3 linked regions of the Drosophila melanogaster genome follow. The protein of the gene in region 3 binds, or shares a complex with, the protein of the main gene of each other region. Each region holds a gene or a part of one and is shown on either strand. Other genes may lie near its edges. The genes, in order: Orc4, Orc2 and Orc3. A codon is read from its position in the direction of its gene.

The links.
Region 1: the proteins of Orc3 (region 3) and Orc4 are in contact, whole or in part, in a crystal structure (PDB 4XGC), measured with the Drosophila melanogaster proteins. Residues at the interface, in NP_476904.1 of Drosophila melanogaster: Ala217 (codon at 2,349), His250 (codon at 2,250), Gly251 (codon at 2,247), Leu253 (codon at 2,241), Pro254 (codon at 2,238), Tyr255 (codon at 2,235), His256 (codon at 2,232); in NP_477320.1 of Drosophila melanogaster: Lys395 (codon at 3,241), Glu398 (codon at 3,250), His399 (codon at 3,253), Ile402 (codon at 3,262), Lys419 (codon at 3,313), Lys422 (codon at 3,322).
Region 2: the proteins of Orc3 (region 3) and Orc2 are in contact, whole or in part, in a cryo-EM structure (PDB 7JK6), measured with the Drosophila melanogaster proteins. Residues at the interface, in NP_476904.1 of Drosophila melanogaster: Gly10 (codon at 2,970), Cys11 (codon at 2,967), Phe12 (codon at 2,964), Val13 (codon at 2,961), Tyr14 (codon at 2,958), Lys15 (codon at 2,955), Asn16 (codon at 2,952), Ala18 (codon at 2,946), Thr19 (codon at 2,943), Arg20 (codon at 2,940), Ser38 (codon at 2,886), Leu39 (codon at 2,883), Leu40 (codon at 2,880), Tyr50 (codon at 2,850), Tyr53 (codon at 2,841), Arg54 (codon at 2,838), Asn106 (codon at 2,682), Pro108 (codon at 2,676), Arg135 (codon at 2,595), Asp136 (codon at 2,592), Ala142 (codon at 2,574), Arg177 (codon at 2,469), Arg180 (codon at 2,460), Asp308 (codon at 2,017), His312 (codon at 2,005), Gln316 (codon at 1,993), Lys319 (codon at 1,984), Tyr320 (codon at 1,981), Met323 (codon at 1,972), Phe327 (codon at 1,960); in NP_731873.1 of Drosophila melanogaster: Ala331 (codon at 3,030), Ile332 (codon at 3,033), Lys342 (codon at 3,063), Met344 (codon at 3,069), Cys345 (codon at 3,072), Ile346 (codon at 3,075), Leu347 (codon at 3,078), Asn348 (codon at 3,081), Glu349 (codon at 3,084), Phe351 (codon at 3,090), Tyr356 (codon at 3,105), Leu358 (codon at 3,111), His369 (codon at 3,144), Lys375 (codon at 3,162), Thr377 (codon at 3,168), Val378 (codon at 3,171), Leu379 (codon at 3,174), Val380 (codon at 3,177), Val381 (codon at 3,180), Asn382 (codon at 3,183), Phe385 (codon at 3,192), Asp392 (codon at 3,213), Ser396 (codon at 3,225), Asp400 (codon at 3,237), Ile401 (codon at 3,240), Leu402 (codon at 3,243), Asp403 (codon at 3,246), Asn410 (codon at 3,267), His412 (codon at 3,273), Glu413 (codon at 3,276).

What each region holds. Positions count from the first base shown.
Region 1 is NT_033778.4:24,795,218-24,799,290, reverse strand, and holds Orc4 (origin recognition complex subunit 4), read left to right. Parts: upstream 1-1,876; 5' UTR 1,877-1,998; coding exon 1,999-2,190; intron 2,191-2,250; coding exon 2,251-3,438; 3' UTR 3,439-3,551; downstream 3,552-4,073. Other genes in the region: CG3611 (uncharacterized protein), read right to left, coding at 1-181; CG12849 (uncharacterized protein), read right to left, coding at 678-827, 891-1,055, 1,105-1,260, 1,319-1,366; ETH (ecdysis triggering hormone), read left to right, coding at 3,833-4,018.
Region 2 is NT_033777.3:13,963,037-13,967,695, forward strand, and holds Orc2 (origin recognition complex subunit 2), read left to right. Parts: upstream 1-1,848; 5' UTR 1,849-1,897; intron 1,898-1,955; 5' UTR 1,956-1,971; coding exon 1,972-2,545; intron 2,546-2,613; coding exon 2,614-3,459; intron 3,460-3,529; coding exon 3,530-3,966; 3' UTR 3,967-4,039; downstream 4,040-4,659. Other genes in the region: Kots (kotsubu), read right to left, coding at 1-611, 696-838. UniProt on the Drosophila melanogaster protein: Component of the origin recognition complex (ORC) that binds origins of replication. DNA-binding is ATP-dependent, however specific DNA sequences that define origins of replication have not been identified so far.
Region 3 is NT_033778.4:13,202,149-13,208,542, forward strand, and holds Orc3 (origin recognition complex subunit 3), read right to left. Parts: upstream 4,400-6,394; 5' UTR 4,361-4,399; coding exon of another isoform or gene 4,233-4,360; intron 4,177-4,232; coding exon of another isoform or gene 4,032-4,176; intron 3,976-4,031; coding exon of another isoform or gene 3,850-3,975; intron 3,778-3,849; coding exon of another isoform or gene 3,628-3,777; intron 3,569-3,627; coding exon of another isoform or gene 3,328-3,568; intron 3,253-3,327; coding exon of another isoform or gene 3,242-3,252; 5' UTR 3,061-3,241; coding exon 3,034-3,060; intron 2,971-3,033; coding exon 2,167-2,970; intron 2,108-2,166; coding exon 870-2,107; intron 805-869; coding exon 708-804; 3' UTR 580-707; downstream 1-579. Other genes in the region: ValRS (Valyl-tRNA synthetase), read left to right, coding at 1-446; CG34315 (uncharacterized protein), read right to left, coding at 3,242-3,252, 3,328-3,568, 3,628-3,777, 3,850-3,975, 4,032-4,176, 4,233-4,360; FLASH (FLICE-associated huge protein), read left to right, coding at 4,944-5,201, 5,258-5,448, 5,503-6,045, 6,105-6,394.

The sequences.
Region 1 (4,073 bases), about 12 Mb from region 3:
GGCCGTCGCCGTACCGCTGGCGACTCGTCAGATAGATCTGGTCAATCCGCTGATAATGGCAGCACTGCATCTTAGGGTACCACGCGAAGGTCTCCTGCCAGTGCCTCGTCGTCCTTTCCATGGCATGACTGAAGGCGAGCTGGTAGCGCAGCTGCTCCGTGGTCACTATGTCCGCCGGCATCTTGTCAGGGGTGTGGGGTTGTGTTTACTTTACTTCGTGTCCTTCTGGTTGTGGAGTGGATTGATATATGTGTCCGAAATGTGTGAAGTTTGTGGCTGGCCCACCTGATTGGCAGCTGAGTTGCCAGTCCCGAGTGCCAATCCCGTTTTCTGTGTGCTCCCTAATCGCATTAGCAGCCACTTGACAGACGACAGGTGCAGTGCATCCAGGTCACTGCCAGCCACCTGTGCAGAAACTCTGCACATAATTGTTAACGCTTACGAACTGGCCTAGTCTGAAACCTATGTACATGTTTAAGTTAACTTTCGTCACTACACTATATTTATTTTCGTAAATCTCAGTAATGTGACAAATACATCACATACAGACCCACTTAGACTTACTATATTTACTATATTGGTCCTGCTGACCCCCATCCAATACTAAAACGGCATAACACCTTACCAATATTTCTGCTTACGGGTTGAAGAGCCTGGATATTACTGGATTTGACTGTTTAGCTCTTGGTAAAGTATAGGATGACATCGGTGCGCGGAATGCCCGCGACCATCCATGTGCTGTTCATCATGTATCTGCCATCGGGGATGATCGACTGGACCAGCTTGTTCAGATGCTGCACGGGAAGCTTGTCGAGCACGATGTCGTGCTGTGGGTGGGTGGGTGAGAAAGGCGAAGGTTATGCGGCATGAACATGGCAACGCTCACTCACGTCGTAGGGGCAGGTGTGGTTCAGGTTCGAGTAGGGGCCGAAGGTCTGGTAGACCCAGTTGGCGATCACGTGCTTGCGGTCGCGCATGAACTTGCAGGAGTCCACCTTGAAATCAAAGTTGTACAGGACTCGCCTGTTCTCGCGCATCCTCAGCTGGAATCTGGTCTGGAAGATGGTCGGGTGGTGTGAGACCGACACAGTTCTATACTCTTACCTCGCAGTTGTCGACGGGCAGGCGGAACATCTTTGTTTTTAGCGAAAGGTACTTGTAGGTGCGGTTCACGGACTTCAAGTAACAGTACTCAAAGTCCATAAACATCCTGTCGCGCACGAGGCAGACTACATTATTGAATTCGAAGTGTCCTCGGATCTTTGGATATCAATTATTCTATAGTGCCATCTATTAGCCATACGCATTCGATTCTTACTGCCATCGGAGACATAAAAATCAGCAGAAAAGTCCACAATCCGCTCATTCCTAAAGAGGTCTGGATCACAATAACCACAATACCGAGTGCCAAAAGCTGAAGCATTCCAAAAGTTATTAATTGTGATTACTCGATCCATTGCTGTTATGAAATTGCCAGCCGATATTAAATAATCTCTGAGAATCCATTGAGTGTTTAATAACTTATTTTAATGGACATTTAAAATACACAGCATTCCAAATAAACCTATTCCAGCAAATTGACCCTCAAAATGCCAACGACTATGCGATTAATAAAGAAATTTGTTCATATTTTTAAAGATGTTTATATGTATAATTGATTGTTATTTATAGAGTTACTATTGTACATATTCCTCAATCGTAGGTCCATTTTGTATGAACTAAAATGTTGATATTTCAAAATGTGCTAAAGCCGCAGAAATTAGATCGTATTGGTTTGTGGCACGAATATATTTTTCAGGCGGCTTAAGGCAACACTGAGTAGTATCAGAGTTCCAAACCACCGTACATTAAATGAACCAATATCGGTTTTGTTCCATCCCCAATGCATTGTTGACGTTTTTTGGCGCGACTTAATTACTGGCAGAAATCCAAACTATCTGTGCGTCCATTTAACTAATAAATAAGGAGGAATAAAGGAGTTCCGATCCGAGAGCGAAAATGCCGGAGGCGGATAGGGAGCTGGTCAGCATCAGGCGCTTCCTGAAGGAGCGCCTCCAGCGAGACTACACCACCTTGAGGGGCTACGCAAAGGAGCGGTCCAATGTGCGCCTATTGCTGCAACGCACAGCTGAAATGGGGGAATCCAACTCCTTGCTGCTCCTTGGGCCGCGGGGATCCGGAAAGACAACGGTATGAGTGCAGGCCTTACCGGGAAACCAATCCAGTAATCTATGCTTTCAAATTCTTTAGCTCATCAACTCCGTGCTGGCCGATTTGCTGCCCAATAAATCGTTCGGGGAAAACACTCTCATCGTCCACCTGGACGGTAATCTGCACACGGACGACCGAGTGGCCCTGAAGTCCATCACTGTGCAGATGCAGCTGGAGAACGCTGCGGATGGGAAAGTGTTCGGATCGTTCGCCGAGAACCTCGCCTTCCTGCTGCAATGCCTCAAGGCGGGTGGCAAGCATTCCAAGAGCGTGATCTTTATTCTCGAGGAGTTCGACCTCTTCTGTGCTCACCACAACCAGACCCTGCTCTACAACCTCTTCGACGTCTCCCAGTCAGCCCAGGCGCCCATCTGTGTACTTGGCGTTACCTGTCGCCTCGACGTGATCGAGCTGCTGGAGAAGCGGGTCAAGTCGCGTTTCTCGCACCGGCAGGTCTTTCTCTTTCCCAGCTTGCGGCGCTTTGAGGATTACGTTGACCTGTGCAGGGATCTACTGTCCCTCCCGACCGGCAATTCACTGTTGCTGGCGGCGGAGAAAATCTATAACCTACAAAACATCCAGTCGGGGGCACTTTACTTCTCCCGCAACCATTTTGACCCCGGGGAGTACGGCTTTTCGCCCAGACTACGCGATGCCTGGAACAAGCAAATATGCAAAGTCCTGGCCACTCAGCAGGCAAGAAGCACCCTCCAAGCGCTCCATGACTTCGACATTAGCGAGGCCTATCTCAAGAACTTCCTATTCCGCCTGGTGGCACATCTCCGACCGCAATCTCCCCACATCACAGCCGAAAAAATGGCTGCAGTGGGATCACAGTTTGAGGGCGACGACAAGATAGAGCTGCTTTGCGGGCTCTCAGTCCTAGAGCTGTGCCTGATCATCGCCATCAAGCACCATTCGCAGATTTACGATCGCGATTCCTTCAACTTCGAGATCATTTACGCGCGCTTTTCCAAGTTTGCCAAAGTGTCCACCACAATGCAGGCCGTGGAGCGGTCCATTGTCCTGAAGGCCTTCGAGCATTTACGCATCGCAGAGCTGATCATGCCGCTCACCGGTGGAGCTGGAGGGGGCGTAGGTAAGGTGCAGAAAGAGTTTGAGATGCATAAGCTGGCGCTGACATACAGCCAGATTCACCACTGTATGCAGCGATACCAGGCCCTTCCCACAGAGGTTGCTCAGTGGGCGCAAAGCTCTCTGATTTAGCAGCAGATCAGAAATACTTTGTATATTTATTTATTTAAAAAAAATTGTACCGAATCATTTAGTTGGTAAAGCCCTGTTTTGGGAAAATAAACTAATTTTAATTTATAAAACGTATATAAGAGAAAAGACAAGCATTTACATACGCAAGTGGTATGTACTATAAAATTTAGTTCTTATACAAATGTAAGTAATGTAATGTGTATGTATGCACTTAATTATGGCCAGGCATTTAGGTCAGGTTAGTTCAGTTTTATCTGCTTTGCACTTTCCGATCGATAATGCTAATTCCTGGAGTCACCCGCATTTCTATTCCACGCAAGATGCGGGTGGATCTCGCTATATAAAGGCCACCAATTGTGGAGCAGGAGTCAGGTGAAGCTTCAGTCGCATCAGCATGAGAATCATAACAGTCCTGTCTGTTTCGCTCTTGGTGGGTCTTGTGGCCATAAGCCAGGCAGACGACAGTAGTCCAGGATTCTTCCTAAAGATCACCAAGAACGTACCGCGGCTGGGCAAGCGAGGCGAGAACTTTGCCATAAAGAACCTAAAGACCATTCCTCGCATAGGACGCAGTGAGCACGTAAGTTATACCCATGGGCTTTCTTAAAGGATATTTTTAAACCATGAACTGTTTT
Region 2 (4,659 bases), on a different chromosome or scaffold from region 3:
CGTGATAAGCTCCGTCGCTGGTTTTGGTTCCCAACATACGGAGCGTCAAGTTCTTAATGTCCTGAACTCCAGTGTTCGTGGGCAATTGAACACGGAAAGCGAACGCCTTGCTTTCGGCCATCTTGGGCACAATGGTGTAGATATCCCGAAACGGTGTAGCTACTATCTGACCGTGGTCAATCATACGGACATTGGCTTCTTGCTTCTTTTGGCAAACCGTCAAAACATGACCGCGATGGACCTTGTCGCCCACACTGATGGCCACGAGGGTGTCCTCCCGCACTCCTTCCATACGAATCATCTTCTTATTCTGCATGCAGCGCTGCATGTTGACCGTCATTCGCTCAATGGCCTCCACATTCGCCACGTGCACCACCCAAATGGGTCCATCGTTCTCCATGAAAGTCACGCGGCACTTGAAAAACTCCATGCCCGACGGCAGCAAATGTTTGCGCCAGTTTTCCGATAGATCCGGCTTGTTCGGCACAGCAACTGTGGGCTCCACACATGGGATTGGCGATTTAGTGCGAGTTTTAGCCAGAGCAACTTGGTTCTCTACGCTCTGGATTGGATTCAACGCCGGTTGAAGAGGCCGGCACTCCACCAAGGGTCTGGAAACGCATTTGTATTGTATAAGAATTAAAAACCCCTAACTTAATGCACTGCTGCGCAACGGATTTACTAATTTAACTCACGGCATAATGATGCACACCTGCCTGTGCCTCTGCCAATCCAATTTCTGGCACTTTTCATTGCAGTACGGTTCTCCACACCGCTGGCACATCAATCTGGTCGGAGTGCCACAGACGACGCATGTCTTTTCCTCCGACTTTTCCATTTCTTCAATTCAAAGTAACAACGCAAGAACGTGTGAATGAAAGAACGGCGCGTTAAAGGAAACGCAGCAAAATGGCGCTAACAGAACTTTTAGCACGCGATGAAATACAAAGTGAAAATCTATTTACGCTGGACGAGAACTTTCTATGTTTTCGTTTTGAAAAAGGTGGAATCCTTTAGAATTTAAGTGCGCGATTCACAACTCACAAACATGCGATACGTTCACTAAACGCGTTTAAATTCGAAGCTCGCTGGGCACGCGCTTCAGTGCATTGAACGAACGTGGGAAGAAAGAGAACAGGACGATATCGATATCGGTTGGTTTTCGATTTACAGCGCACTGATGGAAGTAAACTTGATCGTTAATTAAAAAAGGAAAAATAAGGCTTACGAAGTTTTTAAACTTTAATTAAAACGACACAACATATGCTAAATATTCTACATATTCCAGTTACAATCAATTTCGCCAAGCCATTTTCATGGAAGTTGAATACTCTTTGAACCTGTTTGAATATATCTGAAAACGCAAATCTACTTTGTGTTATTATTTTGCCAATATAGGCAATATTATTTGAAAATTAACCGCAAGTCCATTGACGACCGCAATTCAGAATAAGAACGTAGCGTAATTTTCCCATCTTCAAATATTGTTTTTCCTAAACTTACCGATTTTAACACTTTTTAGTTTTAAAAACGTTTGTGGTTAATCCGCAAGGAATTTGTGACAGTGAAAAAATAACCGCTTTGTACGCGCACGTGTTGCCAACAAACACTTCAGCTTTTGTCAGTGACTGGATTCTAATTTAAATTTATCGATAACGTATGCAATTCTTATTCGAACAATATAGTTATTTCTAAAAACTGTGTCACGGAATTTCTTTTTGTAATTATTACCTATATAAATATATATTTATACAAATATTTATAACATTTGTGTTTTAATTGTCATGCCCCTTTAGTTTTTTTTACGCTAGAAACTTAGCTACTTCCTAGGTCGAGAGCTGGCCACACTCTTGGCATGTCTTAGTTATCGATAATTCCCGCCACTTCTGAGCATTGAGTATATTTTGCGAACTATTTGTTTACCAATTGAATATTTTGATAATCAGGGCCCCCAGTGAAGTGGCAAGCGTCATGAGTGCCAGCAACAAAGGCGGTTACAAGACGCCGCGGAAGGAGAACCTCATGTCCATTGAGAACCTCACCAATTCGGAGGAGGAATCCGAGGACTTGAACACGGCAATGGTTGGGAATGCAGTGGAATCTCAGCCCAAGGTCACCAGTCGGCGTTCCACCCGACGTCCAAGTCCCACCAAGAAATACCAGGCGTACCAGAAGGAAAGCAATGGAAAAGGCCAGGAAGAGCGAATTGTTGTGAACTATGTGGAAATGTCCGATGAACGGAGCAGCGATGCGGAGGATCAGGAAGAAGAAGAAAGCATCGAGGAGTCGGAAAATGCTGCCCGTCCCGCTGCCAAGGATCTGCATCTCATCCAATCCGAGTACAATGTGGCCGGCACCAGCATGTTTGGCTTCAATACGCCCAAGAAACGCGATGCCATGGCACTGGCCGCCCTAAATGCCACGCCCTGCACGCCCAAGACCCCAAAAACGCCGCGTTTGGGTGTCAAGACGCCGGATACGAAGCGCAAGAAGTCCATGGATCAGCCAAAGACTCCCGCCCATGTGCGCACCCGCGTCAAGAAGCGTGGGTAGCCTTTTTCTGCGTCCTTTTACCATTTTTTCCATTATTTATAAATTCATTATCACTTTCAGAGATTGCCAAAATAGTGGCCGACTCAGATGAGGATTTTTCTGGAGATGAAAGCGATTTCCGGCCCAGTGACGAGGAATCCTCCTCCAGCAGCAGTAGCAGCGATGCTGGCAACTCCTCTGACAACGACGCCGCCGATGATGAGCCCAAAACGCCCAGTAGAGCCCGCCGTGCCATTGTAGTCCCCGTTCTGCCGAAAACTCCATCGGCAGCCCGCCTGCGACAATCGGCGAGGGCGAAAAAATCGAATGAGTTTGTGCCCGAGAGCGATGGTTACTTTCACTCGCATGCCAGCAGCAAGATCCTCACTTCGGATCACACCTTGGATCGCCTAAAGAATCCTCGCCTGGCCGCCGATCGTGTTTTCAGTTTGCTGTCGGAAATCAAGACATCGGCGGAGCATGAGGGTTCTATTAATGCCATTATGGAGGAGTATCGATCGTACTTTCCCAAGTGGATGTGTATTCTGAACGAAGGCTTCAATATACTTCTATATGGATTGGGCTCCAAGCACCAGCTGCTGCAGTCATTCCATCGGGAAGTTTTGCATAAGCAAACGGTATTGGTGGTGAATGGCTTCTTTCCCAGTCTGACCATCAAGGATATGCTGGATAGCATCACAAGCGACATATTAGATGCGGGCATTAGTCCGGCTAATCCACATGAAGCAGTGGATATGATCGAGGAGGAGTTCGCACTGATACCGGAAACACATTTGTTCTTAATCGTCCATAATCTGGATGGAGCCATGCTTCGCAATGTGAAGGCACAGGCGATTCTTTCGCGCCTGGCGCGCATACCGAACATTCATCTACTGGCCTCCATTGATCACATAAATACCCCACTGTGTGAGTGCACCGATGCTTTGAGATCTTTATAGTGCGACAGCAAAACTAATTATTGTTTACGAATTTGCAGTGTGGGACCAGGGAAAGCTGTGCAGCTTCAACTTCTCGTGGTGGGACTGCACAACAATGCTGCCATATACGAACGAAACTGCGTTCGAGAACTCGCTGCTGGTGCAGAATTCCGGCGAATTGGCCCTCTCCTCGATGCGCAGTGTCTTCTCATCGCTAACGACCAATTCGCGTGGCATTTACATGCTGATTGTTAAGTATCAATTGAAGAACAAGGGCAATGCCACATACCAGGGCATGCCGTTCAGGGATCTCTATTCGAGTTGTCGCGAAGCATTTTTGGTCAGCTCAGATCTGGCACTGCGTGCCCAGCTCACCGAGTTCCTCGACCACAAGCTGGTCAAATCGAAACGGAGCGTTGATGGCTCCGAACAGCTAACCATTCCCATTGATGGCGCACTGCTGCAGCAGTTTCTCGAGGAGCAGGAGAAGAAATAGGCCATCGGCGTAATTTTAGAACATATTAATTTATTATCTAATATTGTTAAATACAATTACAATTTCGCTTTTTAAAAATGTTGTGTTGCTGTCACTTGTATTGCCCATGATGAGTGCGCAGTGTTTGTTTTCGCTCTTTTTTATTTTTTTGTCAATTTCTACACATTAAGATTGGCATGCATAAAATTTGTCGCTTTGCTCGAAGATACACATTCTAGGATGGCTAGTTTTTTTCCTCAGCTCCAGTTGCGAGCATATAGCAACACAAAACTTCACAAAGCACTGCAAGTGCTCGACGACTGCGGGGATGAGAGCGCATTTGGATACGATTTTAAGGATCAGAAGAGGCGAACTAAACATAGCTAAGCATGCCAAAAATGATAAGACTCACTACCGCCTGACCATTCCGTGCTCCTCATCCATTCCAAAGGCTAATATCGGTTACCTATTCACTATACAGACACGCACATACACAGATTAAAGCGTTGGACTTGTAACTAGTTAATTGTGCACTCGAAACGAAATGTAATTGCTGCGACTAAGGCTAGTTTATTTACACTTTCTTGATAGCAAATCACATGCGAAGTCAATCGGAAGTACACATACAATGGGGAATCGTTCATGGCTGGCTCCTATTAATATTATTTTGAGTTTATTGCAAAATTCTACCCCTTCCTGAATACCTGAATTGTA
Region 3 (6,394 bases):
CGGCGCGAATCATCCGATCTGCCCGTTCCGACTATAATCTGCCCAACAAGGTTAAAACCGAGGTGTATATAGTATGCACGGATTCGGTGCCCAGTGAAATACTCAAACGCTACGCCAGCGATCTGGCCACAATCTCCTACTGCTCCAATGTGGTCTTTGACAGTCCCGCACCGCAGGGCTGTGCGATCCTCACCGTGACGGGCCAGTGCGAGGTGCACCTGCTGCTCAAGGGACTCGTGGAGGCGGACAAGGAGATAGCCAAGCTGCAGAAGAAGAGCGACCAGCTGGTGCAGACGGTGGGCAAGCTAACTCAGGCCATCCAGGCCGCCGACTACGCAACTAAGGTTCCCGCCGAGGTGCAGGAGGCCAACGAGACAAAACTCTGCGAGTCGCGGGCAGAGATCGAACGCATCGCTGCCGCCATCGAGACTCTGAAACTAATGTGAACAGGGAACGTGGTAACCGCTAGTCGGGAAGACTGGTAATTGATATTTAGTACGCTTGCCTTGCCAGCTGCTGGGCTTTACTTAAAAAATACAAGAACGCGCTTCACTCGCAAACAAAGTTAATGCATTTCGTACAGAGTAGACAAATCGATTGATGTTTTATTTATTCATAACGTCCCACACATGAAATTTGCCCCAATATAAATAAATAGAAAAGATAAAAATACCTAAGGGATTTTGGTTATTCATAGCCCGAGCGAGCTACCAGGTTAATCGAGTGGCATGATCCGTCTTGCGCTTCGACATCTTAATGTACCCCAGAAACTGCAACTCGGCTACGGCACGCGTGAATCGGGCCCTGGTTGAAAGGAAAACCAAATGAAATTGATGATATTACAGAGAGAAATCCATTTTTTTACTCACTGGATCTGGGGATCGATTTGTTCCTGGGCCACTTCCTCGTGGTCGCTGTCGCTCACAACAGATCGAAAGGCCTGCAGCCAGTCGAAAAGGTTGATCATGCGACCGCACTCCAGGTGCAGCTTGTAAACCACGGAGAGATCGGGCAGTGTGCCAACCAGCAGTGATTGATCTTGTAGCTCGCAGCACTTGCACTGCATGTAAAAATGTGGATTATTCAGGGCAGTGTGCAGTGCAGCCCGCGGAGCACCAATTATGTTTCGCCGCACGGTAGCAATGTCGCTGAACACAAAAAGTTCGTGAATAGGTGGTGCATCCTGCAGCGCACGGAGATGATCCTGTACAATCTGCGTTTCGATAAGCTGCAGAGTCTTTTGTAGAGCTCGTCCGAATTGGGTGGTGGGCGTGTTCAGCTGATGCCGCATCTTGTCCTCCTTGCTACGCTGTAGGAGCTGATCTTTCAATTCTTGACGCGAGGCCACCGGAGTCAAATGGTCAGTCGCCTGGCGGGTTTCATTGGGCGATGTCGTTGTAATTGTCGCCATGGTGGCCTTGACCACTTCGTCCACTGCAAGGCGTATAGCTTCTAACTTAGGTCTCAGCACAGCAGTGCAGGCCTCGCCCAATTCCAGCGGAGCAATTTCTTCAACCAGGAACTGTTCGGTTCTTTCCAGGGCTCGATTCACTTTAGCAACAAATTCGTCCTTGGACAGAAAGCTTAGCATCTGCAGGCACTCCTTGTACTCCGGCGTCGAAATGATCGCACGATTAAGACAGTTGACGTACAGTTCCCGGCGTAGCTTTCCCAGCGGACAGCGCGGCAAATCACCAACCAGCTCTGTAAGGAACTCCAGAGAGCAGCGGAAAAGCAGGAAGTGGAGCAGGCAGTCGCGCAGCAACTGCGGCAGTTTCTTCTTTAGGTAGTCATCGTCCGTGAGCACGGCTATGATGCGTTTGCAATCATTGATCTGCTCGACGTACGGACGAAACGATGGGAGCCTTCTGATGGTTTCCATATCCTCGTGGGTCAGCTGCTTTATGCGTCCCAATGCTTTGCTGTAGTCTGTGCAAAGAGCAAAGGCATTCCCACCAAAGAAGTGTTCCATCAGGCAGTACTTGAAGCCCTGAATAAAGCCGTGGATGGAGAAGTCGTAGTATAGGAAGATGTGCGTCAGGAACTTGAATGTCTTTCCCGACAGGTGGAAAGCGTACTTGGGCGACAGCAGAACTTTATCCAGCACCTAAAGGTTGTTAGAAAACCGATTAGTACATAAACTAGCACAGAGTTAAGGAATATTACCTCATTAAGGCCCGTGGGAGCAGCTTGAGTCTGGAACACCCTTAGACGAATCTTGCTGCTGACGTGGTATGGTAGTGTCCCATGGACAGCTGTCATGGCCGTGGCCACTCCCAGGACCAGGACGAATGGAAGCGAGCCGCAGTGAGCGCTCAAAATTAGAATAAGATCCTGCAGCACGCTTGCGTTAAAGCACTCAAAGTCGGGAAGGATGACGACCAGCTGGCGGCGCTTCTGTTCCGAGTCAAAATTGTTCGTGTACCAAGACTTCAACTGCTTCATGGTGCACTGCGAGCGACGTAGCCGCTTGCGATCCCGTTCGGCACCATCCTCGTCCTCGTCCTCGTCTTCCATTTGCTCCACTTCTGCATTATCTTCTACGAGCCCGAAAACCAATGTCTCAACGGCCGCCTTGAGAGTGGCGCAATCCCTGGACTGCAGCACACATACCATTGCAGCACGTTGGGCATGGAGTCGCTGGGTAAGTGCCGTGAACTGGCTGAGATGATCCGGCTGATTAATGCCCGTTAGCAAGGCGGCGGTGGGCAGCACCTCGTCCGGGGTGTCGCGCTCTGCCTGCCCCACCACAAAGTCCACCAGTTGCTCCAGAGTGCGGGCATAGCTGCGGTGCTGCAGGTCGGCAATGTGATCGTTTATCTGATTCCAGGCCTTGCGATATTCCTCATAGAAGGGCTGCTGCACTACCTCTTTGCCAAGAAGACTACTGGATTCTGCGGCAGGACGCTTCCGTTTGCTGGCCGCCTTTTTCCCTGCTCTCGTAGCGCCATTTTTGTAGACAAAACAGCCCTGCAGACAACAAAAATAAGTAGTTAAACATCTATGTCCAGTTTGGAAGCCGAAGCCACTCACCTTGGACACTGAAATGGTGGGATCCATCGCTGGCTTTGCACTGCGGCCCGATGTCGTGGAGTCTTTAAGTCGCCGGGTTGCGTTTATTTATTTATTTGTTTAGGTCAGCTCTGTGCCAATTAAAGTTTCTTCACCGGTAGGAACGCGAAATGAAATCAGCTGGCTGTTGTGTTTGGCGCCAAACGGGCGGCAGTGTTGGCTAACGACTTTAGGGGGTATCTTTGAAAACAAGTGTGAAAAGTATAAATTAATTGAATATTTCATCTAACATGAACTAATAATAAGAAATCATACCCTTCGTGCTCGTACGCCACCATTTTGGTGGATACGAATTCGTCGTAGTTTCTGTGAACAGCACCAAGTTTTTTGAACGTTCGCCATCGCAACGATCCGACCATTTTGGGGCCACTTGGAATGAGAAAAGATAGAGGAGCAGGAAATCGAGGAACAGTATGATGGCTGCCAGGAAGTAGTCCTTCGTGCGCATCTCGGCGAACCTTCCACCGTTTATAATCTGCGCGTGATACATGACAAACTGTAAGGAGGAAACTAAATGACAGAAACTAATTCAAAAATGTATGACTCAGTACTAACCATCAAGATGCTGATCACTATAAAGCAACGGGCGATTATAAACGAGTATGCGACATTAGCCACGATGTAGAGCATCACGAAGTATATGGCGCCGATAATGGAAACCACTGCAAGCACAAATAGCACCACAACATCCAAAGTAAGATCCAGCTTAAGGGGATAACAATAAAAATGTGAAGCTTCAGATTTGAATCAAATGGCTTTCATGTGGACTCTTCTTACCGGAAGAAAGGAACCACAGACAATAAAAAGCGCCAATGCTACGGTCCATATAAGGAAGCTGAAGAGAAACTGATACTTGTAGTGGCGGGCAACCAGCGGTGCAATCCCCAGTACAATGCATTCAAACTGGAAAGAATAAGTTCATACTGCCACCCAGGTTATGTTTCACATTGTAGACTTACAATTAGAAAGGCAAACAACCAGTTTACCATTTTATTAAAGCGCAGTACCTCGAAAAATATGAAAAGTACGAGGAGTATCAGGCCTATTCCAAAAAAAAGGCAGCTCAACCAATGGTACGAAGTAAAAAATTCCCTTAGAAAATTTCTGAAAATTAAGAAAAAGTGCAGTGAGGATGAAGTAATGTGAAAATACATACGTACACAAAGCGGAAAGTGGCCCATTGCAACAGCGCAAGGATCAGGAATATCGCGGTTAGTAGGTAAGTGATCAGAGCGAACTTTCTTCTTTCCTTCTTGTAGTAAGAACTTTTTTCCGGAATGTCTGCCATTGTGTAGTGTTTCTCGAGTATTATTGTTTGTATTGTGATGTTTTTTTTTAACGAATTTAAGTGTACAGTAATACGAAATGGGAACTAGATTGATTTTAAAATTATATTCTTGGGAAAACACGTAAGTGCATAATAAAATTTTTAAAATATTCGTTTTGGCGCCAAATGTTGCTGCTGGATATCGATATCCACTATCAGGGTTGCCACATTTTCAGCCGGTCAGCTGTTGCTTCCGATAATCAACTGCATCTTCTGTTATCGATTGGCGGCAACACGGGATTTTCTAACAATATTAAATAGAATAATAATAATAATTACATTTATACAAATACACGGCAGGGAAACAAATTGCACGCCAGTTTGGAGGAAATGCTCAGGACAGTGACCATTGAGCTTTAGTGGAACTTTTATTCCCTGAAACAAAAATCAAGAACATTGAAATTCTTTTGTGTTTCGAATTTTGATCAATTTATGACTGAACAGGTAATCAATAAAGTAGCTCCATTAAAAAACAGTAACTCTAACAATTCATTTTATGTATCCTTGTTTAAAGGGCAGCCAAGAAGAAACGTAAGCGATTGGTATGGAAACGCCTGCATATGCCACGAAATCTGGCGGAGAACTGGTGCTGCCCGAAGCTCTGGAGGACTTGATGGATTTGGAAGACCAGGACGCGGGCGGGATGAAGTCCAACGTTAAGGATAAATCCATGGATTTGGATATCTATCACGATTTGTACGATATAGAGCCTGCAGGTTCAAAGAAGCCTGACCAAATGGACAGATCCCTTGAACTGGACATCTACGATGATTTGGACGACTTTCAGAAGGCCGAAGATCGTGTAAGTTGTGCAGGAATACGTCCTTTCAGCAGAGTTACCCATTTACCATCTCACAGAATACCAAGGAGCTACAGGCATGGGAAGCCAAATACGAAAAGGCACTGGCCGAAATTGAAGCGCTAAAGGTTGAGAATAAGGCACTTGGCAAGAAGATAAAAACCATGGAGGTTAATCTACAGAATCTACTGGACACAGCTAAGGCGGAGGTAAAGAGAAAAGAGACACTGATTGCCGAGCTGCGAAACGAGTAAGTTAGCATATTGACTCCCTGCTTCTTAACAAACAACACATTGTTCAACAGAAAGGACGATGTATGCTTCCGACGAAAACGAGCACGGGCGTTTGACGTACCAGGTGCAAGGGAACCCGAAAGTAAGCGTCCGAAAGAATTTCAATCTACACCAATCGATGTCAGGAAATATCCGGAAACGAATAGAAATCCGTTCAAAACGGCTGCAAAGGACGCCGCTAAGGATGATGCTAGGAAGATGATGACCAAAAAAGATGACACAACGAAAGTCGTATCAAAAGATGTTGAAAGAGGCGTAAAATCCAAGGAGGATAATAAGATGGCGACCAATAAAGATGATGACAAGAAGTCATCCTCAAAGGATGATGCTTGGAAATCTAGGACAAGAGAAGACGCCAAGAAATCGGTCCAAAGAAGCAAGTCTCCCAGGCCGGAACACTCAAAGACCACCGATCGGAAATCTACTGCACAGGCTCGTCGTCCAGATCCACATCGCAGCCGGAGTCCAAAACATAATTCCCGGCGAGATCATCACAGGAATCAAGAAAGCAGTTCCCGGCACGCCAAACGGCGAAGCCAATCCGCATCGCCCAGGTCAGTAAAGCAGAGGGACATAAGTTACATTTGTTGATAGCACCATCTGATTTTTGTAGCAAGATACAATTGCCAAGAGAAAAAGCAAATGCCATCATCACACTTACTGACGATGAAACAAATGACCAACGCAGCAAGAGCCCAGTCCCCGTGACCGTCAAACTCGTAACTGAATCTCAACCGGCTGAAAAAGTCGTTTCCAACCGAAGGGATGCTGCTTTAGAAACCAATGCAAATTCCTCAAAGGAATCAAAAGTAGAGACGAAGGATATTACTCAACCGACAAATGGTTTAATTGCTGAACCTTGTATTCCAAAACATGAGATTATTCCGGGGTTAAGCTTAATTA